Oreochromis niloticus: one gene and its partners. The protein of the gene in region 1 purifies or fractionates together with the protein of each later gene. This does not show direct contact. Links are inferred from orthologs where the notes say so. Each region holds a gene or a part of one and is shown in the gene's direction. Other genes may lie near its edges.

Evidence for each region. Proteins that work in one complex are often made in the same cells at the same time.
Region 2: the proteins of ddx39b (region 1) and zc3h11a purify together in Homo sapiens (affinity purification with mass spectrometry; 4 studies listed by BioGRID and IntAct, with this or other methods). This does not show direct contact. The link is inferred for Oreochromis niloticus from reciprocal best matches to the Homo sapiens genes DDX39B and ZC3H11A.
Region 3: the proteins of ddx39b (region 1) and hsp90ab1 purify together in Homo sapiens (affinity purification with mass spectrometry, with the first as the bait; 3 studies listed by BioGRID). This does not show direct contact. The link is inferred for Oreochromis niloticus from reciprocal best matches to the Homo sapiens genes DDX39B and HSP90AB1.

The regions. Positions count from the first base shown.
Region 1 is NC_031985.2:37,863,315-37,873,800, forward strand, and holds the start of ddx39b (DEAD (Asp-Glu-Ala-Asp) box polypeptide 39B), read left to right. Parts: upstream 1-5,276; 5' UTR 5,277-5,410; intron 5,411-7,736; 5' UTR 7,737-7,746; coding exon 7,747-7,969; intron 7,970-9,456; exon of another isoform or gene 9,457-9,498; coding exon of another isoform or gene 9,499-9,529; intron 9,530-10,486. Other genes in the region: polr1h (DNA-directed RNA polymerase I subunit RPA12), read right to left, coding at 4,781-4,898. UniProt on the Homo sapiens protein: Involved in nuclear export of spliced and unspliced mRNA. Component of the TREX complex which is thought to couple mRNA transcription, processing and nuclear export, and specifically associates with spliced mRNA and not with unspliced pre-mRNA.
Region 2 is NC_031970.2:39,570,111-39,580,854, forward strand, and holds the start of zc3h11a (zinc finger CCCH domain-containing protein 11A), read left to right. Parts: upstream 1-5,250; 5' UTR 5,251-5,367; exon of another isoform or gene 5,368-5,687; intron 5,688-6,548; 5' UTR 6,549-6,621; intron 6,622-9,468; 5' UTR 9,469-9,554; coding exon 9,555-9,608; intron 9,609-9,695; coding exon 9,696-9,815; intron 9,816-10,221; coding exon 10,222-10,345; intron 10,346-10,431; coding exon 10,432-10,596; intron 10,597-10,678; coding exon 10,679-10,744. Other genes in the region: sypl2a (synaptophysin-like protein 2a), read right to left, coding at 4,398-4,472, 4,633-4,647. UniProt on the Homo sapiens protein: Through its association with TREX complex components, may participate in the export and post-transcriptional coordination of selected mRNA transcripts, including those required to maintain the metabolic processes in embryonic cells.
Region 3 is NC_031980.2:14,199,897-14,210,621, reverse strand, and holds hsp90ab1 (heat shock protein HSP 90-beta), read left to right. Parts: upstream 1-5,231; coding exon 5,232-5,381; intron 5,382-5,502; coding exon 5,503-5,709; intron 5,710-5,825; coding exon 5,826-5,985; intron 5,986-6,323; coding exon 6,324-6,457; intron 6,458-6,538; coding exon 6,539-6,844; intron 6,845-6,952; coding exon 6,953-7,118; intron 7,119-7,231; coding exon 7,232-7,422; intron 7,423-7,932; coding exon 7,933-8,080; intron 8,081-8,192; coding exon 8,193-8,461; intron 8,462-8,909; coding exon 8,910-9,243; intron 9,244-9,324; coding exon 9,325-9,443; 3' UTR 9,444-9,867; downstream 9,868-10,725. UniProt on the Homo sapiens protein: Molecular chaperone that promotes the maturation, structural maintenance and proper regulation of specific target proteins involved for instance in cell cycle control and signal transduction. Undergoes a functional cycle linked to its ATPase activity.

The DNA.
Region 1 (10,486 bases):
ATATGTTGTTCTGATGTCGGTCAGTTTACGTGCTGTACACCCCTTTTTTGAAGTCCTATATAAAGACGATTGTTTCTATAACTGATGTCCGATCCATTTTTTTGGCCAAGTGGATTTGCCACAACAGCTTTCCCACGGGCTGGATATGTCCATCACGGAAATATCTGAGTTGCGCATCTCCGATCACTTTCCTGTGTTGTTCACTCTAACGCTGCTCGGTAGATAAGCGTGTGCCCCAGCGCACAAAAAGCGAGCGCTTAATTCTCTAACAGCAACCACTTTTTCGGCTGCCTTTATGGACTCTGGAACAATGAACTCCAACTGTAAAAGTGTTGAGGACCTTTCAGACATTCTTCATTCTACCTGCACTGATATTTTAGACTCGATTGCTCCGTTTAGGACTGTGCGCGCTAAGCAATTATCAGAGCCATGGTTGAATGAACATACGTGCTCCCTTAGACATGACTACAGACACGCCGAAAGGAGATGGAAAAAGGACAGATTGCACGTTTCTCTACAGATTTTAAGGACTCGTCTTTCTGCTTACCAAGAAGCTGTAAAAACTGCAAAGACACAGTTTGTCTCAAACTTAGTGTCAGTAAACAGTCACAGGCCTCAGGTACTTTTTAATGTCCTTAATAGTTTTCTTAGTTCACGTGATAATGCCGGAGTCATTTCTTCACCAAGTATTTGTGATGATTTTTTAGCATTTTTTAACAACAAGGTTCTATTTATTAGGGCTCTTGTAGGGTTGGGCGATATGGCCTAAAATCCATATCACGGTATAATTTGAAGCATGTGCGGTAACGATATATATCGCAATATATTCTTTTCTTCTGTATAACGCATTTTACACACTATAAGGCACACTTAAAATCCTTTAATTTTCTCAAAAATCGACAGTGTGCCTTATGTATGAATTCTGGTTGTGCTCACTGATCTCGAACCGATTTTATGTCGGACACGGCGCGCAGAAATCTCTCAAAAAATGTTTTAGTAAGACTTTGGTAAGCTATGAAGGCGCACCGATTGATGAATTCCCAGAACACCGGAGCCTTATGGCTGCCGTAGTCAGGAGCCTTGCAGAGAAATCTGGGTCCAAAACTCCGTCTCCTTCAGGTCCCAAAGTCAAACGAACACTGCAGCATCACTGAGAGTTAAAAACTGTGTAAATTCTTTCATCTTTAATAAAATGATCAGCGTTGCTGCTTTACCAGGTGTAACAATTAAGCTTAACATCCAGGCATCCATGAAAACAGAATCTATTAAATTCAACGGAGTTAGAAGTTAGCAGGAAGTTAGCTCGCTAGTTTCCACCTAAAAATGATATAACATGTTCTGACTGAGAGATTTCTGAAAAAATTCAAACGTACAGCTCTGCTATCACTTCCAACATAAATGACATAAATTTCCTGTTGAGACAGGAAACTCAACAGCAGTGACTTTTGTAGGGTTACTGAAGTTGGGCTAGCTGGTATATAATGATCTTCTATGTGATCGCTAGCAACACAGCTACGTTAGCATAACATTAGCACAGTGAAGCTGAAGGATGAATGCTAACTTTTTTCCACTCGATAAAAGTTAACGTGAAGGTTCCTGATGGTTAGGGACAAATGCAATCCCATGGCAGGATGCTGTAAACGGACCAAACTTCAGTCAGGAGAACAACTGAGATAATCCATCCACAATACGAGGTTAGTCATTAATATACTGCAACAACATGGGAATAGAGCAGCTGCGAGGGAATTCAGCATTAATGACTCAATGATACGGAAGTGGAGGAAGCGCAGTTTTTGGCTTTCCCCATATTCCAAAAGTGCTTCATCTCTTTGCTATTACTGTCGTTGGCATAATTTGCAGATGATATTGTTTGCAGCCGCTGCGATGCTTTCGACCAAAACAGACGCAGCTTGATGACACCATCAACATGCGCTATTGCGGTAGTGCGGTATAGTCAAAATCTCTACTGTTGGCCAAATTTATATTGTTTCTACCGTATACCGTTTATACCGCCCACCCCTAGGCTCTTGTCTCGTCGACTGCTGCCTCAGATCCTAGTCTTTCTCCTATGTGCTCAGTTGTCTTAGAGCAGTTTGATCCTGTCTCCCTGAATGACTTGAGTGCGGTAGTTTGTAACTTAAGATCATCATACTGCCCCTCTGATTGTCTCCCCCCAAGTTTGCTTAAAAACACTTTTAATACTGTCGGGCCTTTTATCCTGAGATTAATTAATCTGTCCCTTGCTGTGTTCCATCATGCTTTAAACAAGCAATAGTTCAGCCTCTTCTTAAAAAAAAATAACCTGGACCCAACTGTTCTGTCCAATTACAGGCCAATCTCAAAGCTTCCTTTACTGTCTAAAGTTTTGGAGAAAGTGGTCTACTTACAGTTGCAGGCCCACCTTGATTTGAATGTGATTTCTGAAAAAATTCAATCTGGTTTTAAATCATTACATAGCACTGAGACGGCACTTTTAAGGATTTTTAATGATATTCTTTTAACTCTGGACTCTGGTAGCCCTGCTGCCCTTTTATTGTTGGACCTGTCAGCAGCTTTTGACACGGTCGACCATGACATCCTGTTATGACGGCTAGAATTTCATGCTGGCCTAAAGGGATCTGCCCTACAGTGGTTTCGGTCCTACTTGTCAGGAAGGTCTTTTTATGTCAATATGGCCCCCATAACTCCAAACTAGCCCCTCTTAAATACGGTGTACCTCAAGGCTCTATTTTGGGTCCTGCCCTGTTTGCACTCTATTTGTTGCCATTGGGTTCCATCTTCTCGTGTTACAACATTTCATTCCACTGTTTCGCTGATGATTTGCAGATTTATCTGCCTTTAAAAGCAGGGTCTGACCGTCCCCAGCTCTTATTACGCTGCCTTGACGACATCAAACAGTGGATGTCGTTAAATTTTCTAAAGCTAAATGAAAATAAAACTTAAGTTGTCATTTTCGGCAACTTTGTCAATAATCACATCGATAGCACTCTAGGCCCCTTTTCCTCCTATTGTAAAACACATGTAAAAAACCTTGGTGTCTACCTTGATGGTTCTTTTAAATTGAATAAGCAGGTGAGTGCAGTAGTCCAGTTCTGATTCTTTCAGTTAAGACAGCTGGCCAAGGTAAAGCCATACTTCCCGGCTAACGTCTTTGAACGTGTTATTCGCCTCTTCCTTACTTGCAGGTTGGACTACTGCAATTCATTGTATTTTGGTCTCGACCAGAACTCCATTCATTGTCTTCAGATGGTCCAAAATGCAGCTGCTCGCCTGCTAACTGGGACCAAACGGAGAGAGCATATAACCCCAGTTTTAGCTTCTCTACACTGGCTTCCTGTCTCCTACAGGATCCAATTTAAACTTTTACTTTTTGTTTTAAAGTCACTTAACGTCCGAGCCCCTTCTTACCTGTCTGAGCTCCTTTCTGTTTATGCTCCAGGAAAAACCATGAGGTCTAGCTCAAAATTAATGCTTTCCATCCCACGGACTGATCTCAAATCTCGTGGCGATAGAGCTTTCTCTGTGGCAGGTCCCAGACTTTGGAATAGTCTCCCCCTAAATATTAGACCTGCACAAACACTTGATCAATTTAAATCACTACTTTTTATGCCCTGGCTTTTAACACACTATGACCCAAAAATTTTTGTCTTATTTTAATAGTCTTAGTTATTGTTTTAATTATTTTATTGTCCTATCATTGTTTTATATTGTTATTATTGTTTTACATTGTCTCTTTTTAATGGCATTTTTATATTGTTAAGCACTTTGTGCAGCATCGTCTGTCTGGCTTGCTGAAGCATTAAGAGTTCCTTTTACTGGAAATAACTCCTTAAAAACAACCCCACACCATAATCCCCCCTCCACCAAACTTTACACTTGGCTCAATGCAGTCAGACAAGAACTGCTCTCCTGGCTACCACCAAACCCAGACTCATCCATCGGATAGCCAGAAAAAGAGGCGTGATTCATCAGTCCAGAGAACAGGTCTCCACTGCTGTAGAGTCCACCACTGCTTTAAACCACTGCATCCAGCACTTTGCATTCCATTTGGTGATGTAAGGCTTGGATGCAGCTGGTGGTCATGGAAACCCATCCCATGAAGCTCTTTACACACTGTTCTGATCTAATCTGAAGGCCACATGAAGTCTGGAGGTCTGTAGTGATTGACTCTGAGAAAGTTGCCATCCTCTGCACTCAGTGCGCCTCAACATCTGCTGACCCTGCTCTGATTTTACATGCCCCACCTCTTTGTGGCTGAGTTGCTGCCGTTTCCGATCACTTCTGCTTTGCTTACCACTACCAACAGCTGACTCTGGAATATTTAGTACTGAGGACTTGACTGGACTTGTTGCACAGGTGGCATCCTATCACATTACCATGCTGGAACTCACTGAGCTCCTGAGAACAACCCATACTTTCACAAATGTTTGTAGAGGCGGTCTGCATGCCTGGGTGCTTGATTTTATACACCTGTGACCATGGAAGTGATTGAAACACCAAATTCAGTGATTTGGATGAGTGAGTGAATTCTTTTGCCACAATACTGTATATTGAGCTTAGGAAAATACAATCACTTGCTGCAAGAAACTAAAATGATCCAAAGATGGACAGCAGATAGCTCTCAGATAGCTACTCTGCTTTGCCGTTTCATTTGTACAAGCTGTATAAATATCACAGGAATATCAAGATGGAAGTGAAATGAGAAAAACAAAAAGTGAGATAGCAGCAAAATCTCTGCTGCTCATGCTCACACTCGCATAAACTCTGATATGGAATTTACCTGATACAGGGATCCTAAAAGAGCAGCCGGGGCAGCACACTACGTCCGGTATTCCTGGGAGAGGAAGAACATTCCCACACTCTGGGCAGAAGTTGGGACCACCACCAAAACACGACATCTCTGTTTCATGTAAAGTATTATTGTTATACATTTTGATATTATCAATAACTGTAAAATAGTATCGAATAAAAATTTAGACTGACTTATTTTGCTTTGTCGATTCACATTTTAGAGCTTACCTTCCAAAATAAGTTAAAGCGGTAATGTTGTTTTGTTGTCTAACACTCACTGGAGCAAAACACCGCACGTGGCACTTGAACACGTGAAGTGCAGTCGATTAAATCTGTAACTGTCAACTAACGCTGTGTTCAGCTTTCGTCGTCAGCCTTAGGCTTTAACAAAAGACTTTGATGATTTACCGTTTAATGTCTTCACAGGATTGGCAATCTAAACAAGACGCGGTTTATAGCAAAGATTCTCTGTTGTTACTTTCAGCCTGACATCTGCATGGTTACACACCGTCGGGTCCTACAGCGGTTGGTTGTCTGTCGCGTTCTACACGTCATTGTGACGCGCTAACAGTCGCGCTTTACTTTAAACAGCCGTTGACTTTTCTCTCTCGTAGTGAAGGTATGTCGATTATTAAAAGAACTGTAGGCAGTGCACGTTACCAGTACCTGCGGCAACATGACTGTCACCTCTCTGAAGTTTAATGTTGAGCCGTGAGATGTTCCAGTGAGGATATGATGAGTTCTTTGTTAGCCGCTGAGCTAATTGCAGCTAGCTGTTTAGAATACTTGGAATTTGCTTTTACGGTTATTGCTAAAAAGGCCACTCGCTGTGTTTACGTCAGCTGCCGTAATATCAGACGAGCCCGAGTGAATAACAGACATCGGGGATGGTCCCAGTTTTATGGCGACCGTAGTTTCATGTCGGTTATGATCTGCAGTGTGATGAAGAAATCTTAAAGACATATCAGTACTGCTGGATTTGAACTTTCAAAAGTCAAAACATAACTGCGCGTGTGGTTATAGCTATTTAATATTCAGCGACAATAAAAATAAAAGTTCCGGAATATTCCTTCAAAATAGAAGCTCAAAATGAAACCAGGCAATTGTTTTTTAGCACAGTGGACTGGTTCATGTTTTCAACCTGAGGTGGTGGACATCACTGGAGTCCTTATAGAAATTCTAGCCTGCCGTACAAGTTGGTGCCTCATGTTAGACACACCACTATTCTGGCATTTATGCAATATAAATTAATTTTGCAGGGTGGCACAGTTGTTAGCACTGTTGCCTCACAGCAAGAAGGTCCTGAATTCAGTTCCACCATCAGGCAACTCCACTTTATGTGTGGAGTTTGCATGTTCTCCCTGGGTTTTCTATGAGTACTCCGGCTTCCTCCCACACTCCAAAGACATGCAGTTAGTGGGGTTAGGTTAATTGGAAACTCTAAATTGCCCATGGGTGTGAATGGTTGTCTGTGTCTATGTGTTAGCCCTGTGACAGACTGACGACCTGTCCAGGATGTACCCTGCCTCTTGCCCTAAGAAAGCTGGGATAGGCACCAGTGTGACAGTACCTGGTGTTAAGTATTCTGCTTTCACTCAAAACACTTTGTAACCTTTGTACACCTTTTTAGTTCTGATTGAATTCTTTGTACCAACAATTTAACAGAGTGCAGAAAACATTTTCTCAGAGATTGTGGCCCATGTGGACATCATAACATCACACAGTTCCTGCAGATTTGTCAGCTGCACATCCATTGTAGACTGTACTATTTTTACTCATATTTGTTATCATGCTGCTGTAACACAAACATGTGGGATCAATAAAATATGTATTTATCTACACTCATGTTGTTTGTGCTAAATTCTGACCCTCCCATGCAAGTGTTGTAGCAGACTCATCAAACCAGGCAACGGTTTCCAAGCTTCTGTTGTCCAGTTGTGATGATGTTGTTCAAGTTGTAGCCTTGCTGTTGTGTTGTTAGCGGACAGGACTGGCACCTGGTGTGCTCTCCTGCCTCTGTAAGCCCACTTCATTTATCTTATGTTTTGTTATGATGCATGTCTGCAAGTAGCTAAGCAGTTTAGCAGTCTGGCCATTCTCCTCTGACCTCACACATCAACAAAGCACTCCATGGATATTTTCTCTTTTATTGGACAATTCTCTGTAAACCCTACAAAGGGTTTACACTGGATTTGTGTGGGAAAACCTTAGCAGAGACGTTTCTGCAGTACTCAGATTAGGATACAGGGCGCCAATAATCAAGGTGTGTTCAAAGTCACTTAAATCAGCGTTCTCCCCCATTCTACAGCTCTGTTTCAACTGGAGCAGGTCATAGTAATTATCTCTAAACGCCTAAAAAGCAATTCATCATTTCTCAACATTGTTGACATTTTTCAGTGTATTTGTTTTCTCTCCCCTTTTTTCTCTAATTTTTATGTATTTTTTGAGGAGGGTGAAGAATCTTTTTTATTCTTCTCTGCACTATTTTGGTCTCTGTTTATAGTTTGTTTGGTAAAAATAGAAATGGTTCTTCTCTGAAACAGTGATGAGCTGCACATGTATGTCATTCATTTATACACTGGATTGTATGGAACGATGTCCTGCATGTTTCCAAGGGACTTGGAGACCAGGGTTAATGATGTATGTCTAATTGTCAGTATAATAACAATGAAGTTGATTAGGACTTGACTTTGGGAGGGGGGATTGGGCTGCTGCACTCAGAGCATGAGCTTGAGATAGCTAGATTAAGGACATTTGCTCTCACTGACGTCTCCGAACCAGGAGTGAAAAAAAACCTGAAGTCTAAGCTGCTGGCTCCTTTTTGCACACATGCTGACCCCAATAATTATAACTTTGGCCATGTTGATCCTTTTAGCACTGTGAAAGTTTAAAAGCTCTTTGTTCCTGAAGTTTCATACACCACATTTGTTTTTCTCGTTTCGCAGCAGGGTCAGGATGACAGAAAACGACGTAGATAACGAGCTGTTGGACTACGAGGATGATGAGGTGGAGGCCGGAGGGGCTGGAGATGTTGGAGGTGCAAGTGACGTGTCGATAAGAAAGGAGGGGGTGAAGGGCTCTTATGTGTCCATTCACTCCTCTGGATTCAGAGACTTTCTATTGAAACCTGAACTGCTGAGAGCCATAGTGGATTGTGGGTTTGAACATCCGTCTGAGGGTAAGTAATTGGTGCCAGGAGGAAAATGTGGAACTGGTACAACCATTGCTGAATTTAATCACCTTTTTATCTTCTCTCTGTATTTGAAGTGTCTGATAAAGATTAATGTCAGTTCCTCCTTTAACAGAGCTGTGGTGGGTTTGTGTTGGCAATGGTAATTTTAGTTACATAGCACATTTCATTATGCTCAAACTCGATGTGCTGAACACAGAAGATAAAAACATGAAAATCTGTGTAGGTTTATGTGGTGGGGCGTGGACTGCGGTGCCGTGCGGATGCACCTGCACAGCATCCGCAATCACGCTCACCGTGTTAAAACATGGGGACTCAGGGGTTGGTGGGGTTGTGGTGGTGTGACAAATGTTGAATAAAGATGGCTCAAAACACAGATCTGCGGTCCCGCCGTGCCTTAATTCCACCACACTGGTGCCGAAACCCAGGACGCGGCGGGGTGCGTCCACACGGCACCGCAGACCACGCCCCATCACAGTTTGCAATCTAAATCATTGTAAACCTACCGTGAAAACAGCAAAATAGAATAGAATGCCATTTATTGTCATTGTAAATGTACAACAAATGTATAGGTGCTCCATAGACAGCAGGAATAAATGACAAACATAGCCATATGTACAATCTAGAGGAAAATGTGAAAAAAAAAGACTAAGGCACAGATTGGAGTGCTTGGAAGTGGTGCAAAGGTCTGACTGTAGAGCATGTATGTGAGAGGCCTGAGTGATGAGGGTTGCTCAGATAATGGCTCAGATTGGTGAGGTGGTTGGCAGGGCGTGGGGGGTTTGGGCATAGTGTTTGTTAACTATCAAGGGGAAGAAGCTGTTTGTGAGTGTGAAGGTTTGGGACCTTCACACTCACGGGATGTGAGTGAGGTGATGTAACCATCACCTTTGATGGACCTGGTTTTTCTGAAACAGGAGGAGCTGGCGATGGCTTCCAGGGATAGCAGAGGGCAGCCAGATTTTTTAGGCGGTGTTAATTACAGTCTGTGCAGCCTTCCTGTTCTCCGTCGTGGCGTCTGCGTACCAAACAGCCAGGCAGTAGGAGAGTACGCGCTTCACTGAGGAGCAGTAGAAGGCCAGCAGCAGCTTGTGATCAAGGTTATTCTTCCAAGAACCTGAAGGTGGAGACAGATTCCACCCGCTGTCCATTAATAATAATAATAATGATGATAATAATAATAATAACTTTATTTATAAAGCGCTTTCAAACAAAGTGCTGTACAGCTATTTGAAACTAAAAAGATAAATGAATAAAAGCGATACATAGCAATACAAGTAAAAAACAGTAAGAATTTAAAAACTAGAAGGCATAGAATTAAGACATGTAAGATAGGGTGAACAAATGTGTCTTCAACTTAGTTTTAAAAACTTCCACAGAGCATGCCTCCCTAATATCTTGAGGGAGGTTGTTCCAAAAAAATGGGGCAGGAAACGAAAAGGCACGCTCTCCAATTGTCTTTTTTCTGGCTTTAGGAACCTTTAAAAGGCCAGAGTCCTGGGATCGGAGAGCACAGGATGGAACATAAAGGTGTAAAAGGTCAGAGAGGTATGAAGGTGCCAATTCATTTAAAGCCTTGTTATCATCTTCCTCAAATGATAAAAAGCGGTCATTGTTATCGGTCTGTTCCTCCTGAAGTCCATTATGAGTTCTTTTTTTTTAAGGACATTCAGCTTCAGGTTATTTTCTGAGCAGCAGCGGGACAGGTTCTTTACTTCTGCCCTGTACGCTGTTTCATCTCCATCAGAGAGATCAGAGTGGTGTCGTCAGGATACTTGACGATGACGTTGGGTGGCTGGGTTGGTGCACAGTCATATGTGTACAGTAGGGGGCTGAGAACGCAGCCTTTTGGGGGATCCGGTGACTTGTTTTCATAGCTTACATAGCACAGCTGACATAATGCTTTCCCTAGCTTGGCTGGCTCAGTAGGTAGAGTGGTGGCCCCCTCATCGGAAGGTTGGGGGTACCCCTGAGCAAGGTACCGTCCCTACGCACTGCTCCCCGGGCACCCAATGGCTGCCCACTGCTTCAAAGAGTGAATGGGTTAAATGCAGAGAGGAATTTCCCCACGGGGATCAAAGAAGTATACATTATCATTATTAGCTGCTTACCCTAATCAAGACAAATGAATGCCTAACTCTATCCTAATTGTAACCCTGACGCTAAAACCACATTTTGAGTCTCATTGTAGGTCAGTCAGAATAAAAAGGTTTTGAGCCTGTTTTTGAACGTAGTCATTAGGGATGGGTATCGTTTAGGTTTTATCCGATACCAGTACCAAACCGGTACTTTTGAAACGTGCCGGTGCTTAAAGAATGAAGAACACACACTTTGTCCAAAAACCTCTCATGTTTAGCTGTTTTTTTGTAAAAAGATAACAATGTTAGCCTTTTCTGCAGCTATAGGGCATATATGGTCTCACTCTTGGCTGGAAGCAGTGCTTAAACAATGGAAAAAACACAAACTTTGTCCAAAAACCTCTCATGTTTAACTGTTTTCCAATTT
Region 2 (10,744 bases), on another chromosome or scaffold:
TTTTCAAACTGAGGCTTTTATCTAAGGTGAGATCATTTTTATCTTTTAAAAACTTTGAACGGATCATCTATGCTTTTATTACAATCCAACTGGACTATTTTAACTCCTTATATACTGGAGTTAGTCTAACCTGCCTTACAAGACTGCAGTCGGCCCAAAATGCTGCAGCTCATCTTCTGACACAAACTAAAAGACGTGAACAGTGCAACTTTAGACACCACATGGTTGAATAAACACTTGTTTTTCGAGGTTATTTACTGTTCAAATGTTAGACCGCAGGTCTAGCATTACACTACATTTAGGTGTCGAAAAACGTCCTGGTACGAATGAGTGTACGAAGCTTTTCTGTTCTTCCAAGCTGTTTTTCATCTTTCAGATTAGAATGTCTGGCAAGCAAATAACTAAAAATATTGTCAATAATAAATATAACACTGTGGAAATGTCTTGGGTTTTGTGTCAAGCTGATAGAAAGATAAAAGAGTTTATAGATACAATTTAAGTTTGGTTATTTGCTCCTTTGTTGCCTGTAGACATAACACTACTTATAACTGACGATATAATTGACACTAGACAAAATACTTTACAACTTCACAACTTTATTAGTGCTTAAACAAGCAGCTGTTTTTTTATGTGCAGTTATATAAAGTTATATAAAAAAGTATGTAAAGTTAAATAAAAATGTAACAGTGCAAATTCCTCGCTGACAGTTTAACCAAAAAGCATTTCCAGTGGAAATTGGCCGACATATCCTCAGCATAACCATGTATAATATCCACAAAACTTAAAAAGAGGTTATACACACACAATACGGTAATATTATGTTGAAGCACAGTACGTATCACTCCGTGAGGCTCCTGCCTACGATAGCCGTAATGCTCCAACAATCCATCAAGCGGTGCAGCTTCGTAGCTTAGCAAAGTCGTACTAACACATTTGACAGATTTTCGAGCGCCGTGTACATAAAATCGTTTCGAGGTCAGTAAACACAACCAGAATTCATACATAAGGCACGCGGGATTATAAGGGACACTGTCGATTTTCAGAAAAATCAAAGTATTGATTTTAAGTGTGCCGTATTTTCCAAAAAATACAGTAACAACGACGGCCCGCTAGCATGCTCTACCAAAAATAGTGCTTTGTTGTGTATCTGACAGACGAAAGCTAAACCAGTTCCACACCACTGAAGTTGCAGCAATGTTACAAACCAATTCTGGTTCATCCGTTTCATTCAACGATCTGCTTTCGCCCTTCTCATTCTCCGTCGCCGCCAATCTTTTTCCGCCATGTGCGTATGAAAACAAAGGCACTGCGCATGCGCGTTTTACCCATATTCTATCGCGATATTTTATTATGTGTGCCTATGCCAAGAGGCACACATATTACTATTCCTCGGATTTATTATTCTTCTTATTATTAGACAAGCTTCATATATGTTACCTCATTTTGTGCGGCTGGATCTGGAATGGTGTGCTATGACTTTTGGTGTTTATGACTATTATAGTTTTTTAAATATTAATATTTTAGTGAAAATTTTCCCACGCTCCTCTGCCAAACAGTTTTGACAATAGGGTTACATATGTTACATCATTTTGTGCGGCTGGAGCTGGGCTAGTATGGTATGACTTTTGGTGTTTATGACTTTTATAGTTTTTGAAATATTTAGATTTTAGTACAAATTTAGGCCAATTTCTAGGCTCCTGAGAAAGATTCTGCTTTTGGCACCATAGAAACAGACTTCATTTGTGGTGTGTTGGCTCTCTCTAGTGGTATACCGGGAGTAGTACGGGCTAAAACTTTTATTCTTGTCGGAAAACTCCATATCCCACAATTCATAGCACGCCTCTGCCAGTGAAACAATGGCGGACACCACTTGGATTCTATAATGGTTTTTTTTGGTGTTTCTAGGTCACAAAATAAACTTTTACGATATTTTCAGGCGAGAATGTAGGTGTGTAAACTTCAAATATCTGCTCGTTTTATCAAGACATCCCATATTCTCTTACGTGTTGTTGATAGCCAGCTAGCTAGCGCCGCTAGCCTCTGCCAGTGAAACAATGGCGGACACCACTTGGATTCTATAATGCTTTTTTTCGTGTTTCTAGGTCACAAAATAAACTTTTAAGATATTTTCAGGCGAGAATGTAGGTGTGTAAACTTCAAATATCTGCTCGTTTTATCAAGACATCCCATATTCTCTTACGTGTTGTTGATAGCCGGCTAGCTAGCTAGCGCCGCAAGCTAGCGCCGTTAGCGACCCTTCGTGAAAAAGCACCCAAGTTTGGCTTATAGTGAAGCGGCAGAAAGTCGTGTCAACACCCGATTGCTCGCCAAGGGTCTGTGTTCAGCTGGACTTATTTTTCGTTTATATGGGCCGATGATGCTGGAAACCGAAGGCAGGAGCGTGAGGTGAACTGAATTTCAGGTAAGAAGTTATGAACTGCACTCTATTTGGGTCAGATATAAACCGAGTTTAGGTGTAATTTATTTTCGTTGACCTTTTACAATCGTACTGCCACGGGAGTTTATATACAGCTGTGTGCGCGCTAAGTTACTGACGTTGGACTTTATTTTATTCATAAGGGTTAGTTCATAGAGTCAGAGAAAATATTATGATTTATTCTGTCGTTACGAAGCCTCCCCTGTCATTCTCTCGCGTGTTGAAACGTCAATCATGAAACTGATCAATGATCGGCTGTTCGCTCTTATTTCTCGGGCTAACAACAGCAGCACCTTTAAGCTTGATCAGCTGTTGTTACAATTCTTTTGATTTTAATTTCTAGTATCAGCTGATGTTTGCTGGAGCATGAAGATGAACTCAGGAGATGTCCTTACTGAATCATCAGAGCTGAACTGGTGATGGAGAAACAGGTTTACACTTTAGGTGACATGAATGAGTTGAAGGGAAGTTATGAGTTGTTTCTGAGAGACAAATAAAGACCAGCTAGGGCATTAACAGAGAAAGGTGGACACAAAGATATACTTTTCTTTCTTACTCTCATATAAAATATTTAGCTTTTATTAAATAGTTATCTGAATCTCACAACCAAAGTTTGTATAATAATACACAAGATTGGCTGTAGACCATTGTTCATAATTCAGAACACTGTGTAAAATAACAAAAAACAAAAAGTGAATGCACGGCCGGCTGTGTGGGTAAACCAACCATGTGTGAAAAGTGGTCCATAACGTAATGCTTCAAAGCGTGTTCGTGCAAACATTGTCGGGTCTGCCGTGGTACAATGGGACTTCTGCTCATGAACCTGTGTGCACAGCGTCTGCAAATCGGCGCTGTACAAAGTAACTTCATCTTTACACAAAACTGTAAGCTGTCATCTGTGAAGCGTGAGCGGTGTTTGTTTTTACCATAGTTCATGGTGGAGAATGGCTGCTCTTCTGAGTTTTGCTGTCTGTAGCCGTATGAATGGCAAACTACACTGATTACTAGCGGCATAGGCACACTTAAAATTTCTTCTGAAATTTTCGCTTTCTATTTTCTTATTGTTGCCCAACATTATACCGGTATTACTGTGAACGGTTTGATATGGGCCAGCCCTATTCACAGGTCAGTGTTAAATAGCTGTAACAAACCAACAAAGAAACAAAACAAACCCATTTGAAAATGGTCAGGTATGAGAGAGCTACTGCTCCAGACCATTTTAAAACACGTCTGTCTTCCTGCAAGCAAAAGATCAACAAACCAGGCTGGCTCAACACTTTTTGCATTTATATTTCACTCTCTATAGTTCACAGTCGTGTTGAAACAAACCTTACTGTACACTAAAATGGAGCAGACTGACACACTTTCACCTTCCACGCGTGGATTTGGTGGTGCTCTAATACACAGAGCACCACCATATGTGCAGGCACACAGGCAGGGGCAATCCTAATGTGTTTTCTTTTCTTCATATTCAGTCTATTCAAAATCAAAGGGCAGTTTCACGGACTCAAACACAAGTGAGATTTACAGCTTGTTCCAACACAAGCCAAGCAGCTGCCATTCCACATCAAACTCACCCCACGGTTCAGCAACACCAGGTACCAGCCACACTGGGAGTACCACAGTGGAATTTCCTGGTAACTGGTTCAGCTGGTGGTATGACCCAGTCCTACACATAATCAGGTTTTATGATGTGATAAAAGCTGATACCCTGTTCTAGGTTAACATTTCACTGAGGAAAATGAGTAAGGTCAGTGTTATAAAATGTAACGTCGACAAAACAGACACAGAAGTTTAAAGTTCTTCATTAGTTATTCAAGCTGTCTTCTTGAATACATGTACCAGTTTAATTACTGGTACATGGATAAATGGACTCCTAGGAGACATCCCAGTGAATATTCCAGACTTCACGCTGATTGGGATAAATAACGTACAAAGACATGTATGTGACAGTGCTTACCCATTCGAGGACACGAATAAATCCCAAAGGTTCCTTCAGCGGTCCAAGGTCCAGAGAAAATCCGGCCATTGCTTTCTGTGCACCAAAGACACGCAACCAGGTGTGAACGAAAAGTACCTCTACAAACGGCGATACGTGTTAGTCACCTTGCAGCTAACTGACCCTGCCCTGGTTAAAGCAGCTGCATGCTAACGCTAGCTCACGTCAACTTAGGCACTTTAAAAAACTCACAAACCTGAACAGTGTCCATCGAAGTGTGTAAAAACTAGCAGTTAGTGTCCCGGTACTACTTTTGTCAGTTTGCATGTAAAGCTAACTTCAAGTTGGTCCGTCTGCTTTCTGCCAACGACATAGGAGCTAACAGCAGGGGGCAGTCTCAACTGTGCACGGACCCTACTGTGAAACCGACATAGTACTTCCTGTTTTTACTTTTCAAAATAAAAAGCACACGTTTGAAATCAGAAAGCGATGACTAATTTTTCTTTCAATGTGATTATTAGTTAGCGTTTCTAATGTTGGAGGGAGCGGAAGGTAATGCTGCACAATGCAGTGTGATTTTGACAGTATTTAAAATAAATTGTGTGGATCACAACATAGCCGCGATAGCAGTTTGCACCCTAACTAACTAGATTTGGCCTATCTAAATAGTTCATAATTACTTACGGTGCTTATTTATTTATTTCTACGCCAGACTGTTATTCACTAAGGGTTAGCATAGCAGAATGAATGTCTTTGCTGACATAGCCCCTAGAGAGTGTATAACACTCTTGCTGTAGACGTGATAGAAGTTTTCGAATCTTCGACCTTTCCGTGCGACTTGAACACAGCACGCAGGCCACCCCTTCGTATTTTTATTCCACCGTCGCCATTTTGCTTAAGTCACAGTGCGCTTCTGGTTTTCTTCGAGCAGGCTCGGGTTTTTCTTGCCATATTCTACAAGTTTTCAAATATCTTTTTAAATTTTAAACTGGTAATTCAACACTACATACACTGTTTACATCATATGTATGGCAGTTACATTCACGCGTTATAACACGAACGTGAATACCACGGTAATAAACGGCCGTCTGAACGCTTAGCTCACGATTAGGTCGCTAACCGCCCAAGGTTTCGGTAGGCCTCTGTTATGTACACGAGCTAAAAAAAGTGTTCATCGATTAAGCATAATAATTTAAGAGTTCACATTTTTAAACTAGAGACTAGTTAGCCCGGTTAGCTATAAAGTCATTTTCCTTTCCGACTGGGAGTCACGTAGTTCATTAGCTTTGAGACACTTTTTGTAATTCAACAGTAAGTATATGAATGTTTTCTTGGCTGTCTTGGTCTTTAAATTTATATTTTCCTCGAGTTTGAGATTCGTTATTGTTATCTGAGTGTTTCAGTTTAATTTTTGTTTGTGTCCTAATTAAGATGACGATCATAGTTAAGGCCAATTGTCACTGGCAAGCTAAGGCTTCCGTGTGTAGAGTGAAGAAGCCTCCCAAAACAGTACTTGTAGATTTTCCTGCATGAGACACTAGAAATGTGAAAGTATGTAAGTGTCGAGCAGGCTTGTTTCATGTTGCTGTGTGGAAATGTGTTTGTCCTGTTTGTCTTTCAATAACCAGTGTTCAGTTCCCCGGGCAGTGTTTCTGATGTATTTGTAGGTTTAAACCCATCCTCTTGGCCCTCTTTGGGAATCCCTGGATACGGATAATTTGCCCCCAGTTGATTGGCAGAAGATTTTTTTTTCTCCAGCATTTGGTAATCAAGACATGAAAGTCCTGCAGCGTTTTTCCTCCCAACCTCCAGCATTCAAATGTCACAAAATGTGTAAAATGCCAACAAGCCCAAGAAGAAGCTGAGGATTTTTTTCCCACCAACCACCCCACCTTTCTCATCTTTTTTCCCACATCAGTTAGAGTTTCTTCTATTTTTTCTTGTTCATGCTGTTTATGTCCCCCTACTTATTTATGTCAGTAGCCACACCAAATAGTATCAATGATGATTTACAAGAAATCCCCAAAGGACTTTATTGCATCAGCATCAGTATTGTTTAGCGGTTTGGCAGAGATCAGGATGTCTCAGAAATGGGATGTCGTAGGAAGACTAATGTCTTTGGGAGACCCACCCCACTTTTCCTCTTATCTCATGGATCAAGTGTTCCTTCAGGATTTCCTTACTACTGTGGAGACTCCGTACCAGCTGTGCACTCAAGAGGCAGACCACTTCTCTACTACCTCAGGTAAATGAGCTGCAATGCTTCACACAAAAGCAACATTTTGTTGTTGAAATGTTATAGGCCATCTCACATGAGTACAGGTCAGCTTTACAGATTACTCTCAGTGCAGTTTTTTTGCCTTTTCTACAAATTTGTCAAATTGTTTTTTTTAATTTTTCTTGTGCAGAACATCTTGTTGTTTGTAGGGCTGCCACAAACGATTATTTTGATAGTCGACTAGTCATCGATTATTTTTGCATTAGTCGACTAATCAGATCATGCATCCATTGGACGTAACAGGTACAGCTGATTGCACCAGCAGCATCTGCTCTTATATAACTATCATTAGCTTACAGCTTTGAGTGTTGAAGGTATGTGCTAACTAAAAATAAAGACAAGATGATAGTTTATTAAATTTTAATGACATTTGCAGATTGTTTAGGTGGAGTTTAATAAACCCAGCCTTCTGCTCCTTGCTATCTAAAATATAACAGGACACCGGAGTATATTCTCGAGCATCTCACACTTCTGATAATCAGCTGTCTGCTTGACGTTTATTCAGCTGTGTGAAAACTATAACTTTAATCTCAGCCAAACCGATTTACTCAGGAACAAATAAAATTGTGAAAAAAGCCAAACAATAACATTTTTAAATTACCTAAGTGACTTATGTATCATGTTTAACCTGAGTAGCGAAAGACCGCGGTGGGTTTGAAAATGATTTGCCAGGAGTCCGGTGTTCTCACCGGCTCTAGTGAGCCTTGAACCCCGGCTAGCTATCGAGCTGGTGGGTAACAGACGTCTCTGAAAACGTTGGCGCTCTTTTGAAAATATGTGGTGTCTTGATAAACCAAGCAGATATTTGAAGTTTACACAGCTACATTCTCACCTGAAAATATGTTAAACGTTTATTTTGTGACCCAGAAAGAATAATAAGAGTGATATTAAAACTAACTAGCTGCCGCCATTGTTGGAAACTGATGAATTCTGGGATAGATTGGGCCACGAAGGATACACCCGACCCATCCTTCAAATCTGGGGAAATGAAGGGCGCAATTGTCGGAGTCTTCGAATTTGGACAGTCTTTGTAGTGTCGCTGTAACGTAATTGGCCTACAAATGCGGGCACAGGAGGATGCGGCTCCTGAATTTGGACACAGCTATGATACCGGACACAGCTGCTTCTTCTTCGGAGTGTAACAGCAGCTGGCATCCTTGTACATGCAGTGCTGCCATCTTCTGTTTCAGTCAGTTATTACACTCTTAAATCCTACTACTTATTCCTGCGTCTGTCGGGATCTTACAAAGCTTCAAACGACGCGTCGACTATTAAATTAGTCGTCGACGATTTTGATAGTCGACGTAATCGTGACTAGTCGATGAATCGTGGCAGCCCTAGTTGTTTGACTTGAAATCTAGTTGGTGATGTACAGAGTCTGGGTGAACGTTGTGAGTTGGTGCTTCATAAATAAAATGAACTGAATTAAAAATGGAGTGAAAAAGAAACACTCATTGTGTCATGGGGAGCACTATAACTATATGCTTTAGCAAAAAGGAAAGTTTGAAGCCTAATCTTGAAAGTAGAGATAGTGTCTGTCTCCTGAATCCAAGTGTTAGGAACAACAAGTAAGCCTGTAGTGTGAGAGCGAATTGCTCTAATAGGGTGATATGGTACTACAAGGTCATTAAGATAAGATGGGGCCTGATTATTTAAGACCTTGTATGTGAGGAGCAGGATTTTGAATTCTGGATTTAACAGGAAGCCAATGAAGGGAAGCCAAAACAGGAGAAATCTGCTCTCTCTTTCTAGTCCCTGTCAGGACTCTTGCTGCAGCATTTTGGATTAACTGAAGGCTTTTCAGGGAGTTTTTAGGACATCCTGATAATAAAGAATTACAGTAGTCCAGCCTGGAAGTAATGAATGCATGAACTAGTTTTTCAGCGTCACTCTGAGACAGGATATTTCTACCTTTAGAGATGTTGCGCAAATGGAAGAAAGCAGTCCTACATATTTGTTGAATACATATACAGGGACATACTCTGGTTATTGTCGTGCACCAGGAGGATCCCAGGACCCGCTGCAGCAGCGTAGGGCACCAGTGGTGGACCTGGAGCTCAGTGGCAAATGTCAATCCTCAGGCCACCCTCATGAAGTCTGTTTCTGATTGTTTGGTCACCTTCACATCAGTGGCCTGCTGTAGGTCATTTTGTAGCTCTGGCAGTACTCAGACTACTGCTGCAGCTCTCGATTGTTTTAGTAATCAATTAATTTATCGATTATTCCATCGGATACAATTACAGTGCTGGCGGTGAAGAAAAGCCAGCATATCAGCATTCTGAGGTTCACCTGTGCTTTGATGCAACGTTTTTGTGCTGCTGAAAACAAGACAGAATGATGGTGTAGATGTGAATTGATATGAATAGTAATTGATTGTCCAGCCTAAAGACCCTCAGGTCAGCGAGTTTGACTATTAGTTTGGTCCTCACGGTGTGTGTGTGTGTGTGTGTGTGTTTCCACATTAAACTATGCCAGTGTCATCACTGGTGCTGTTGTGTATCAGTGTGTGGAGCCTTTTCATCCACACCTGCTCCTGAATGTGTTTGTATTGCAGCTATGGGTGAAACGCTCACACATTGGCTCATTACACAGCTCTGTGTTAAACAAAGCATCCAGCAAAGTCTGTTTTTGTTTTGTTTGTTTACAAAAACCAAACCATTTGTAGAGATTTGGGCGACACAACATCCCTGTGTTGTTCCTGGTACACACTGACACTGAGCGTTTAAATATTCCATTGAAAAACTTCCAAAATGTACCAAATGTGTTGGTTTGGTTTGAAGTGTGATGTCTGGTTTCTGTGCTCTGTGTTGTCAGGGAGGTTCCTGTAGGCCCATAAGAGAACCAGCTGCTGGGTTTAGAGGTCGTTCTTTTTCATCACCAGCGCGTAAAACAGCTTTACTATGACCAGCCATGGAGACGACTGCTACTTCTTTTACTATTCTACCTGCAGTAAAGTAAACAAACCTGCTATATGCACACATTGGGCTAGAAAGTGTTGGTGGCCAGAAGGAAGAGTCCAAGCTTACTGTTTGTCTGTGCAGGGAGACAGTTGTCCGTTCAGACACTGTGAGGCAGCTATGGGGAACGAGACCATCTGCAGCCTCTGGCAGGAGGGACGCTGCTTTCGTGCTGTCTGCAAGTTTCGCCACATGAAAATAACGGTAAGCAAAATCTAAATGGAAGAAAGGTGAAGGTCTCTCCTTCAGGCTTTGCCCAGTCAAGGCTGTGTGTGCCTTGAATGGCCATTAATGAAGAGTAAAAAAGCCCACGCCTCCCTGTAAACCAGGATCTCCACTCCTGACTCCTTCTTTCAGATTTCTACAATGTGAAGTGCTGTTCACAAACACAAGGCTGGTTAAAACGGGGGCACGTTCCCTCACCTTCAGTTCTTAGCTACATAGTCCAGAGTGGTGTTACAAACCACAGTGTGGTATGTGATTAGGAGTCTAGACTTGGACCTCTGAGCCTCCTCTGAGAGTGAGGAGCGTTTCTCCTCATGCATGTTGTTTCACAACGTCAGATGGACACCGTATAATGTTCACATGTTAATGTTCTTCATCAAAACAGAAAAATCGAAAGGAGATCCCGTGTTACTGGGAGAACCAGCCGGCAGGCTGCCAGAAGCCACACTGTGCCTTCTACCATGAAAAGCCTCGCTACATAGAAGGCGTCTTTGTCCAACCTGATAAAAGTGAGTGGAAGCTGTTTAAACACACACACAGACATTTTACATCCACTACAGCAAGATGCTAATGACCGTGGCTGTTACCGTCCCAGACGTAAAGAAGGAGGAGGAACAGCACCACGAGGAACAGACTGTCCCGGCGGCCACGGTGAACCCTCAGCTCAGAAGTGTCAAGACTGAAACTCAGGAGCCAGTGCCGAGCCCCACCCATCCACCAGTCGTGATTAATCCAGCAGACGATGATGAGGATGAGGACGGTGAGCTGAATCTGACTTTAAAAAAGATTTCTTTATACAAGAAGTTAATATTTTGTTGATTCTAATCATGGATGTCTTTCAGATCAGTTCTCAGAAGAGGGAGAGGAGGGAAAGGGTGGCCCTTCTCCTAGAAAGCTGCCCAAATCAG
Region 3 (10,725 bases), on another chromosome or scaffold:
CTTGCTTTTGTCACCATATGATCACTATCATAATGGTGGGGTTTAATGAATAGATTAGCTTTTAAGTAACTTTACATCGTCGCCATGCATTTTTGTGTGATGAATGAAGATATGGATCTATAATGGTCACACCTAGATAGTTTGGCAATAGTGGCAGGTGTCAAATCACGCCTGAGAAAGGTGACAAGAATAAACTAGCTGTCTGCCCACTTGTAGTGTTCAAACATTGAAAATAAAACATTTCATATAGTTTAGGGCAGAATAATATGTTTGGTGGTGTTGTTTTAGGGACCGCCAATCTATAGTGGAGTATGCATGTTACTGAGTTAGGGTTAAAAAAAAAAAAAAAACTGTGTCAACTAAATGTGCAAGCTCTAGGAGTGAACTGCTGTCCAAAACCTGAAATGTCAACTACAAGATCAAAGAAGCCACTTTACCTTGTGAGTGTCACGAAATTTACTAATCTCTCTGGAAATCAGGTCCCTCTTGTCCTCCTCCATGTCAATAGTGTTTATGTCATCCTGAGGAAAAACAACGCATTGACAGGTTGAAATAACAATGCTCACTTTCAAGCTAAGGAGTAAACAAAACAGTAGCACAAGTTAACAATTAATCAAGGTCAGTACCTCTTCTTTTTTCTCCTTTTTTCTCTTTCGTCGCTGGGACTCATCATCCTGTGAAGGTGCATTTAGTTCCGCAGCATATTCCCGCATCAGTCCATCGATGGCGCCCTTGATAATCTGATCTTTCTTCTTTGTCTCCTCATCTAACACTTCTTCCTCATCCTCTCCTGCATCTTCACTCTTTTTATCCTGTCAATAAAATGAGTCAAGTTTAGCAATTTTTCACATTCTCTAGCTGCTGCAAACAATTATTTGAATTGCTGTTGGAGTCAAATTGTTAAATATTGTCATTGTGATACTTAAATTTGTAAGTCTTAGTTCAAGCAGCATGATCAAAGACATTCCTTTGTCTCTGACCACCTCTCCAGCCAGTTTGTTGGTGGGGGAGGCTGAAGTGGTTTATTGTAGGGACATCTATGTGAGGGTTCTGTTTTCTTGTGTAGTAAGCCTCCTGCTTTTATGATCCTTTTGTGGGCAGGAGGTCACACAAACGCACCCCCAAACACAAACATACACACACACACTCACACTCACATACACACACACACACACACACACACACACACAATAAGTTTCTAAACCAGCGGGGCCTGTGGAAGCGCAGACCCAACAATTGCTATTACAAAATTCATACCCCATTTGCAGTCTTCTTCTTGGCCTTCCACTCATCCAGCTGTGCTTTTGTCTTGGCATCAACTTTCACAAGTAGGTTTTTATCTCCAATCTGGAGGTCGTGAAGCAGTCGCAAGGCTCGCAGTGTGGACTCTGGCTCCTTGTACTCACAGAAACCAAAAGCTGGAACAAATATTGACATATAAATAGACATAAGGGCATGATCAAATGTTTATGTTTATAGACTGAATTAATGGTTTGCCATGTATCTAGTTATTCTTCATCTTTTAATACCCATATACTGACTAAATAATACCCACTTTGGATTATTAGAAATTACCTTGAAGCTTGCCAGAGGCTCCTTGTACTCTCTTCCAGCTCAAAAACAATTCCACATTTCTATAGAATTACAAAGAAAAAAAATAAAGTTGTCAAATTAAGAGGGTGTCTGCCTTTGCTGGTGTATTTCTACAAGTAGAATGTGTGTTCCCCTCTTACCGCCAGCAGCTGTCTGATCAACATGTCTGAAGCCTTTTCTGATATGTTCCCTACAAACACCGTTGTGGTGGGGCCACTGTTCTCATCACTGTCTTTGGCATTCACAGCAATGGTTTCCCTCTTAGGGACTGCAGGCTTGCTGAGCACTGGTACTGAAGGAACCATTACTGCAGGTGTGGGGGCCATGATACCCATGTGAACTGGGATCATAGGGGCTCCTGAAACAGCCAAAGAAAACATGCAACAAGCAATTACACCATTTTCACTTAAGATCTATGACTGCAGATTAGTAAAACGATTCTCAAATATTTTCAGTAATGTAGCGAATCTCAACTACCTTCAGTGTTGCGAATATGCCTCTTAATAATGACATTGTGGCAAAACTGAAACAAAACAGGTGAACGCCAATCAGAAGGGTGCTTACCTGGGGGAAAGCCTGTGTACTGAGGAGGGATGCCTGGAGGAGGCAACAGCGGCCGATTTAAATGAGGGGGGAAGGACATTGTGGAAGTGAAGTGGACCGACCTGAAGAAGGAACCAAGATACCCGTTATCAGCAGCACCAGATGTGTAATTAAATCAAGTCCTCTAAACAATGTAAAATAAAACAAAGAGCCAAACTTTTAAAACGATTAGTTTAAATCAACAACACTATAAGAGAAAGCACAACGATGTTTATTGGTATCTAGTCATATGAATGTAAAGTACCCGTCGGTGACTTCTGCTGCCCAGCAGCAACAATACTTAAACTTAGCTTAGCTCAATGGGATGGCGTTCGCAGGGTGACTATTATAAAGTCCCAGGACCCACGTATTGTTATTGTGTTACAACGAGTTAATTTGCTCACTGTTTATGCGGCCAAAAAACTAGCAGCTTAGTTAGCTAAAGCTAGCACCGAGCACGCTCCAGTGTCCCCGGCATAGACTTAAGCTAAGCTAATATTAGCGCAACCTGGCGTTACTTAACAAACAACACTCAACTATTAGCGGGCAAAGTTAAAGTTCAAGATAAATCTACACATGCCCAGGTATACATACCTTTAATCAGGTGGTGTTTAAAAGAATAAAAATACTCTCAGAAGGTTAGTAATTATGAAAATTCCTCTAACGTTCCAAATGTTGGATTAGCACGTTGGCTAGTCGGGCCTTCAAAAAAAAAAAAAAAACATTTGACGCAAGCGCTTTACGCGCAACACTACATGAGCGCTGGCTTTGTACACCAAGACCTGACCACTGGACGGAGTTTACTAACGATACTAGTAGCTACTGCGGCAATAACTGTACTACTATTATTACTAGAGTCGTTAGAGTATAGTTTTATACTAGTATTGTAATATTAACATCAATAAGAAAAATCACTACTCTTATTATTATTAATATTTACATAGCATTCCTAAAGGTCGTCTAGAAGGTTAATGAAACATAAGGTTAGGGAGCGTTTGTCGATGTTGAAGGTTTGCTGGGTTAAAAATGGATTTCAACACTATAATACAACTCCTGCACTTGTATGTACTACTTTGGGGAAATTTTAAGACATCGTCAATTTAGATTTTTATTTTTATTGAATTACATTAATATGTAATTCAAAGACGTAGTCTATTATTTGTGCATAGGAGTTCCTCCATAATGTCTTTTACGAATAAAATAATAATTTTGACATCCGACAGAATAAATATCTGAAGATCAATTATTTATTTATTGCATAAGCAGCGTTTTGTTTTTGATGGGTTTTTTGTTTGTTTGTCTTGTTTTGTATTTTGTCGGTGCCTCTCGGAGACAGCGGCTGTTACGTGAAGACTGCGACTGACATCGCGTGACGTCACTTTAGGCGGGATTTTCATGGAAAGTGCTAGAAGAAACGAAGCACACCCTGCATGTTTTTGAATATTCCTCCATCAGATTAAAAAGATCTAAAGTCTTTGTTGGTCTGTCGGAAAATTAACGGTATACTCGTGAGTTTTATTGACTTTATTTGTTAGACTGATTTAAATTATGCTTTGATAGCATATCGCGGCAGCTCTGGAAACTAGTATAAAATAGATCGATTCGGACAATACTTTCGTTTTTGGTTTTAACGGCCACAAGATGGCAGCAATGATGCGCTTGTCTCAGAAATAAAACTGTAATACTGTGTTTTCCAGGAGATTAGTATAAAGTAGTATAAAGTGTTTTTGAATTCACTTTACTAATTAATCTTGAAAAAGTCCCCTTGTTTTTGTATACCTAATATAATGGCTTTAAATCTCCAGAGATTTGTTTTCTTTAGTACACATTACACTTCAATCCACTGAATTAATACCTGCTAAAATGTCTTAATAATATCATATTTATTTATTTAGTTATGGTATTTCCTCAAGTCTTCATTCAAACTCATCACATGGTGAATGTAGCCTTAAAACATTAACTGTAATTCACTTGGTGCACTTCTCCTTACTAGATGGCGCACCGCGGATGGATACGACTGCACAGTGAAGCACGTGTATAAAGATACCGGTCTATTAAAAGGAGGTCCCTTTCCATTTCTCTGCGTCAGACAGCGTAAGGGATAGCGATTTGGTTGCATTTTATTCAAGAAAAGTCAACGAAATTAACAAGGTATGTAGACGAGCGGTTTCTTGTTGGTTACTACGTGCTTTAGCCTTTGATATTTGACCTTTTATTAAACAGTCATTATACAGTACAGCTCGTATTCTCACGAGTTACGGTTGTAACCTTAAGTAACTTTGGTCAGGTACAGCTAACATATCACAGTAGTATTCAGAATTTTGGTTTTTAATTACTGTGGAGTAAGAAATGTTTGCACTTGTCACGTAGACGTCGAGCGGTGTAAATGCTGCACTCTGCCGCACTGCCCCAGCCGTGTGTAGTACCAAGGCAGGTGTGGCGAACATGACAGCGCTGTATCGGTTCATAAATTGTACGACTGGTCCACATTAACAGAATTAATCCTTTTAAATCTTTATAAGAGTAACGTGAACTGGCTTGAGTCGATTTCGCTTAGTCCCCGTGTTCACGTAGCTGTCGCGTGTCTATAAAACGCACGAGTTAGTCTCTCAAGTTGCCAATGCTTTCAGATTTATGCTCGTCTTAAGTGAGTGGTGTTTTTAGCTCTTATTTATTCGAATTGGTGGCAGAGCCGTTTTATATGACAGTCACGTTTGCTGTCGTTAATACACGGCTTTAAGTTGCTCTTCTGGGTGAACCTATTTTGCCGCATTGCATAAGCTTTTTTTCGTTATTTTCATCGGTAGCTTTTCCTTAGCACGTGTTTGCGGGGTCCATTGTCTGTCGCTCGACGCCATGTTGGTTAACGGCCACTTCCGCAACATGACGGCAGTTATCCATATTATGTAACCGACTTCTGACAGGATCAAACGGTGATACAGTTTGCGAAACTGAAAGTAGTTGAATATATGTAGTTTAACCGGATCCCATAATTAGCCTTATCCTGTTTTTATCGAAATCCACCCATTTTATTAAAGCATACACAAACTGTTTTAATGCAGATGCCTGAAGAAATGCACCAAGAAGAGGAGGCTGAGACCTTTGCCTTCCAGGCTGAGATCGCTCAGCTGATGTCGCTGATCATCAACACCTTTTATTCCAACAAAGAGATCTTTCTCAGGGAGTTGATTTCCAACGCTTCTGATGTAAGTTAGCAGGAGCAGAGCTTTTCATTCAGCACTGATGCATTTATTTTTAGCCATTTTTTTGTGTTTCTAAATGCTTAAAAGAATGTTAGTTTTAATCCTGTTGTTTAAACATTTGCAGGCTCTGGACAAAATCCGCTATGAAAGCCTGACTGATCCCTCCAAGCTCGACAGTGGCAAGGATCTGAAAATTGACATCATTCCCAATAAGGCTGAACGCACCCTGACCTTGGTCGATACTGGAATCGGTATGACCAAAGCCGACCTCATTAACAACCTGGGTACCATTGCAAAGTCTGGTACCAAGGCCTTCATGGAGGCCCTGCAGGTATGAAGGGAATGCATCTCAGTATGGAACCGTAGGGACGCTTTATAAGAGGAAAGCATTTTCCATGTTCACAATTAAGCTGAAATCTAACATTAGAACTCACTGTGTTCCTCTAGGCTGGTGCTGACATCTCCATGATTGGTCAGTTTGGTGTGGGTTTTTACTCTGCCTACCTTGTTGCTGAGAAAGTGGTTGTCATCACAAAGCACAATGATGATGAGCAGTATGCCTGGGAGTCCTCTGCTGGAGGTTCTTTCACAGTCAAGGTTGACAACAGTAAGTGTATTGATGTTACAATATCAGAACTAAACCCGTTTTTAAATATTGTGGGTACATCTAAGGATGTCCCTGATTTCTCATGAATTGGAAGCAGTTCTTACTATTAATGGTCTTGATGTTGTTAATTGTGTATTGGTTTTCATGTGTCTGAGGTTACGATGTAGCTTTAAAGTATTAAGAGAGTTGTTTTCAATCTTGGCGTTAAAGTTGGCATCGTCTAGCAAAGTGCGCTCCTTTAGAGGCTTAAATATGGATTTGAAGTATCTAAAAATTGAATCTTGACTCCATGGACACTTTAGTACAAAATGTCCTAAAAGCATCACAACTGTTCACAGGTGAGCCCATTGGCCGTGGAACAAAGATCATCCTGTACCTGAAGGAGGATCAGACAGAGTACGTCGAGGAGAAGAGGGTCAAGGAGATCGTGAAGAAGCACTCTCAGTTCATTGGCTACCCAATCACCCTCTTTGTAAGTGACTCTTATAGAGGACGTTGTTAGTATACCATTAAAGAACGGCAAAGTAAAAATCAAAGTAATGTGAATCTGCAGGTGGAGAAGGAGCGCGACAAGGAGGTCAGTGACGACGAGGCAGAGGAGGAAAAGGCAGAAAAGGAGGAGAAAGAGGAAGGTGAGGACAAGCCAAAGATCGAGGATGTTGGCTCAGATGATGAGGAGGACTCCAAAGACAAGGACAAGAAGAAGAAAAAGAAGATCAAGGAGAAGTACATCGACCAGGAGGAGCTGAACAAGACCAAGCCCATCTGGACCAGGAATCCTGACGACATCACAAACGAAGAGTACGGCGAGTTCTACAAGAGTCTGACCAACGACTGGGAGGATCACCTGGCTGTTAAGGTAAGCAGGTTAACCTGAACAGCTCTTCCAGGTTTTAATTGGCCTACTGGGTTTTTAACGTAGTCATAAACTACAAATAAAGCTAAACGGAGTCATTTTCCTCTACAGCACTTCTCAGTGGAAGGCCAGCTGGAGTTCCGTGCCTTGCTCTTTATCCCCCGCCGCGCACCTTTTGACCTCTTTGAGAACAAGAAAAAGAAGAATAACATCAAGCTCTACGTCAGGAGAGTCTTCATCATGGACAACTGTGAAGAGCTCATCCCCGAGTATCTGAGTAAGATGACTTGCTTTTTACCTTTAGTCTGAAAGTACTTTAATTTACAGCTTAGCACACAGTAAGGAATTGCTTAAAGGCAAAGGCTTAGTGTAGCATTTATGTTATTCCAGACTTTATCCGTGGTGTTGTGGACTCCGAGGACCTGCCCCTGAACATCTCCAGAGAAATGCTGCAGCAGAGCAAGATCCTGAAGGTCATTCGTAAAAACATTGTCAAGAAATGTCTTGAGCTTTTTGCTGAACTGGGTGAGGATAAAGAAAACTACAAGAAGTTCTACGAAGCCTTCTCAAAGAACCTCAAGGTATTTATAATATTCTGGCTACTTTTCTTTTTTTTGTGTCTTTAGGAAAGTTGGCTCTTAAAATTCTCTTCATTTCATGTCAGTGCATCTTCTTGGACCTCAAAGGTTTACCTCTTTATTCTTTAATCTGGTTTGTAAAGCCCTCTTCAAAGTAGTGTAGACTTTTTTGTGTGTGTGTGTGTGTGTAATAACCAGATCTTTAAAACCCAGAAGAATAGCTGTTTTGGCATTTATGTAATCCCATGCAGTCAAATCTGCATTAGGAATAGAAACTTCCCACATTTAGGCTGTAGACTGAAAACATGTTAATTAAAAGCCTAAAGTGACAAACTATGTAGCAGAATTCATGCAGTGTGCAATGTCAGTGTGATTAGAATAGTGACATTGCTGGCAGTCCATCCCACCTGACCATACACAGGTGGGATTGACTTTTTATTTGAATCCATTAACCCTACTGGTGTATGAGATTGTTTTTGGATAAGATGATAAATCTTATTTGTTCACTTGTAGCTGGGTGTGCACGAGGACTCGCAAAACCGCAAGAAGCTGTCTGAGCTGCTGCGTTACCACAGCTCCCAGTCCGGTGACGAGACCACCTCCCTCTCGGAGTACGTGACCCGCATGAAGGAAAACCAGAAATCCATCTATTACATTACTGGTGAGTAAAATAAACCTTAAGTAGCTTCTGAAATGGTAGAAGAGAACTGCATTTACACAAGTATTAAAAATGAAGTTTTATTCAAACTTTATCGCTTTTTTGTCATTTGTAGGTGAGAGCAAGGATCAGGTGGCCAACTCTGCCTTTGTTGAACGTGTCCGCAAGCGTGGTTTTGAGGTCTTGTACATGACGGAGCCCATTGATGAGTACTGTGTCCAGCAGTTGAAGGAGTTTGATGGCAAGACCCTGGTCTCTGTCACCAAAGAGGGTCTGGAGCTGCCAGAGGATGAGGAGGAGAAGAAAAAGATGGAGGATGACAAGGCTAAATTTGAGAACCTCTGCAAGCTCATGAAGGAGATTCTTGACAAGAAAGTGGAGAAGGTCAGTGATCCTAGTGAGAGCCCAATTAAGATTAACCCAAACTTCCCTTCGTGCTCTAGCGTTTAGGGTCTCAAAGTTCACAACTGTGGCTGATAGGATTTTGTTTGGTAACAGGTTGTCTAATTGGTTCCAACTAGTACTGTGGTGAGTTCCTGCAGTCTTGGTGTGATGCGAATGATTTGCATTCTTTGCCAGATGTGGTGCTGTACATGTTTGAAATCTGAACCATAAAGTGAATGCAGTCAAACTCGTGCTTGTTGCAGTAATGTGCATCTAGTACTCAAGTTTTCGCAAGGATTTGGGGATGTAAACTAACTAGACTAGATTTAAAGTTGTAATGTGCTGGTATTATTTCTAACATGCTTGACTAACTTGACTTTGTCTCCTTAAATTATCAGATGTTGTCACCTGAGCCTCTTTAAATCTTAATGTCTTCTGTCTCCTTCAGGTGACTGTGTCAAACAGACTGGTGTCATCCCCCTGCTGCATTGTGACAAGTACTTACGGCTGGACCGCCAACATGGAGAGGATCATGAAGGCCCAGGCACTCAGGGACAACTCCACCATGGGCTACATGATGGCCAAGAAGCACCTGGAGATCAACCCTGACCATCCCATCATGGAGACTCTCAGGCAGAAGGCTGAGGCTGACAAGAACGACAAGGCTGTGAAGGACCTCGTCATCCTGCTGTTTGAAACCGCACTGCTGTCCTCAGGCTTCTCCCTGGACGACCCACAGACTCACTCCAACCGCATCTACAGAATGATCAAACTTGGTCTTGGTAAGAAAACTCCAGATCCTCTTGACTTTCTAGAAGTGGGTATCGATCTAGGTGAGCAACGCTATGCTTTTGTGCACTCAGGTATCGACGATGACGACATTCCCGCAGAGGAGACCACCACTACAGCTGTCCCAGATGAGATGCCTCCCCTAGAAGGCGAAGCTGAGGACGATGCTTCACGCATGGAAGAAGTGGATTAAACAAGATCGCACCCCAGATTTCAACACATAATCCTCCCTTTCCAATTGTTCATCCTTAAACTGTAAAAAAAATAGCTATTAATGTTGTGAGGTGGACCGATATTGGTGCTCTTGAGTGTGGAACAGCACACTGAAGAGCTCTTTAAGAGGCTGTCTTGATTTTTCCTGTAGAAGTTCATGGTGACGCCACATTTGTTTTAATGAGAACCCTGTTGCACTGAGTTTTAAATGTCAGAGCGGTAAATGTGTGAACACAAGTACATTCCACAGTCGCATCTGGAAGGTTTGGGGGGGGGGGGTGCTGTTCACGTGCAACTCTGCACACTGCATGGAGAGAGGACTGTATGATTCCTTTGCCTGAGTTCAGGCTCGTCTGTAATTCCAAGTCTTGTTTTGCAAAAAAAATTAAAGATGTGAGACCTTATTTGTCTTGTAGTATTTTTATACCTTAATTAGGGAATTTAAAATAGTGTCTGCACACATACTTGGACCTGACACACATCTTCAAAATCTTACTGGGGCAGTTGCTCAATGTATCCACTAGGTGGGGACATGCTGCAGTGTGAGAGCCATTTCCAAACATCAGCATACAAGTGGTTTAGACAGAAGAATGAGTTTTGTAAGTGTTACTATTGTAAAGAGTCTCCCCCCCCCCCCCCTCCCGCCGCCTTGCTTGCTTAAAGTGGCTTCAAAATGCCAACTTCATTACGTTTTAATGTATGATCAGATCAGTTTAATGTAAATCTACTTTGTCTTTATTCTCACTAAAATCCATAATTTCTCTTACTTTAAGACCTCTCATACAGCTGCATAAATTACAGTGCAGGTGTGCGTGAGAAGGGAGTAAAAAGAAAACCGAAGTAATCCTGTTAATCTGACAAAGAACTGCACTGAGAAATGCAGATAGTTGCATTAAAGGACACAGCCATGTGCTGGAGGCACGTGTTTCTTCAAAGCGTGAGGCGGTATCAGCTGAACATTTGGGGGAAATGTAGAGCGTGTAGCTTTCCTGGAAGTCGTGTGTTTGTACAAGCTTGAGTAGGTGGCAGCAGTTTTTTCTGCTCTTGTCAGTAAAACAGTGACGTGTGGGTGTCTGTCCCCTCACACACTAACTCACTCACACTCGCTCCAGTCAAAGTGATAGTGAGGAAACTTAAGCTCTGTCATTCAGAAACCGACTCCGCTGCTTCTTTGCCACCTCTTATCTCTGTGACTTGACCACCTTCTTAAAACTTGTGCTGTGTGCGCAAGTACTGACAATGTTATGTAAATAAATGTAAAA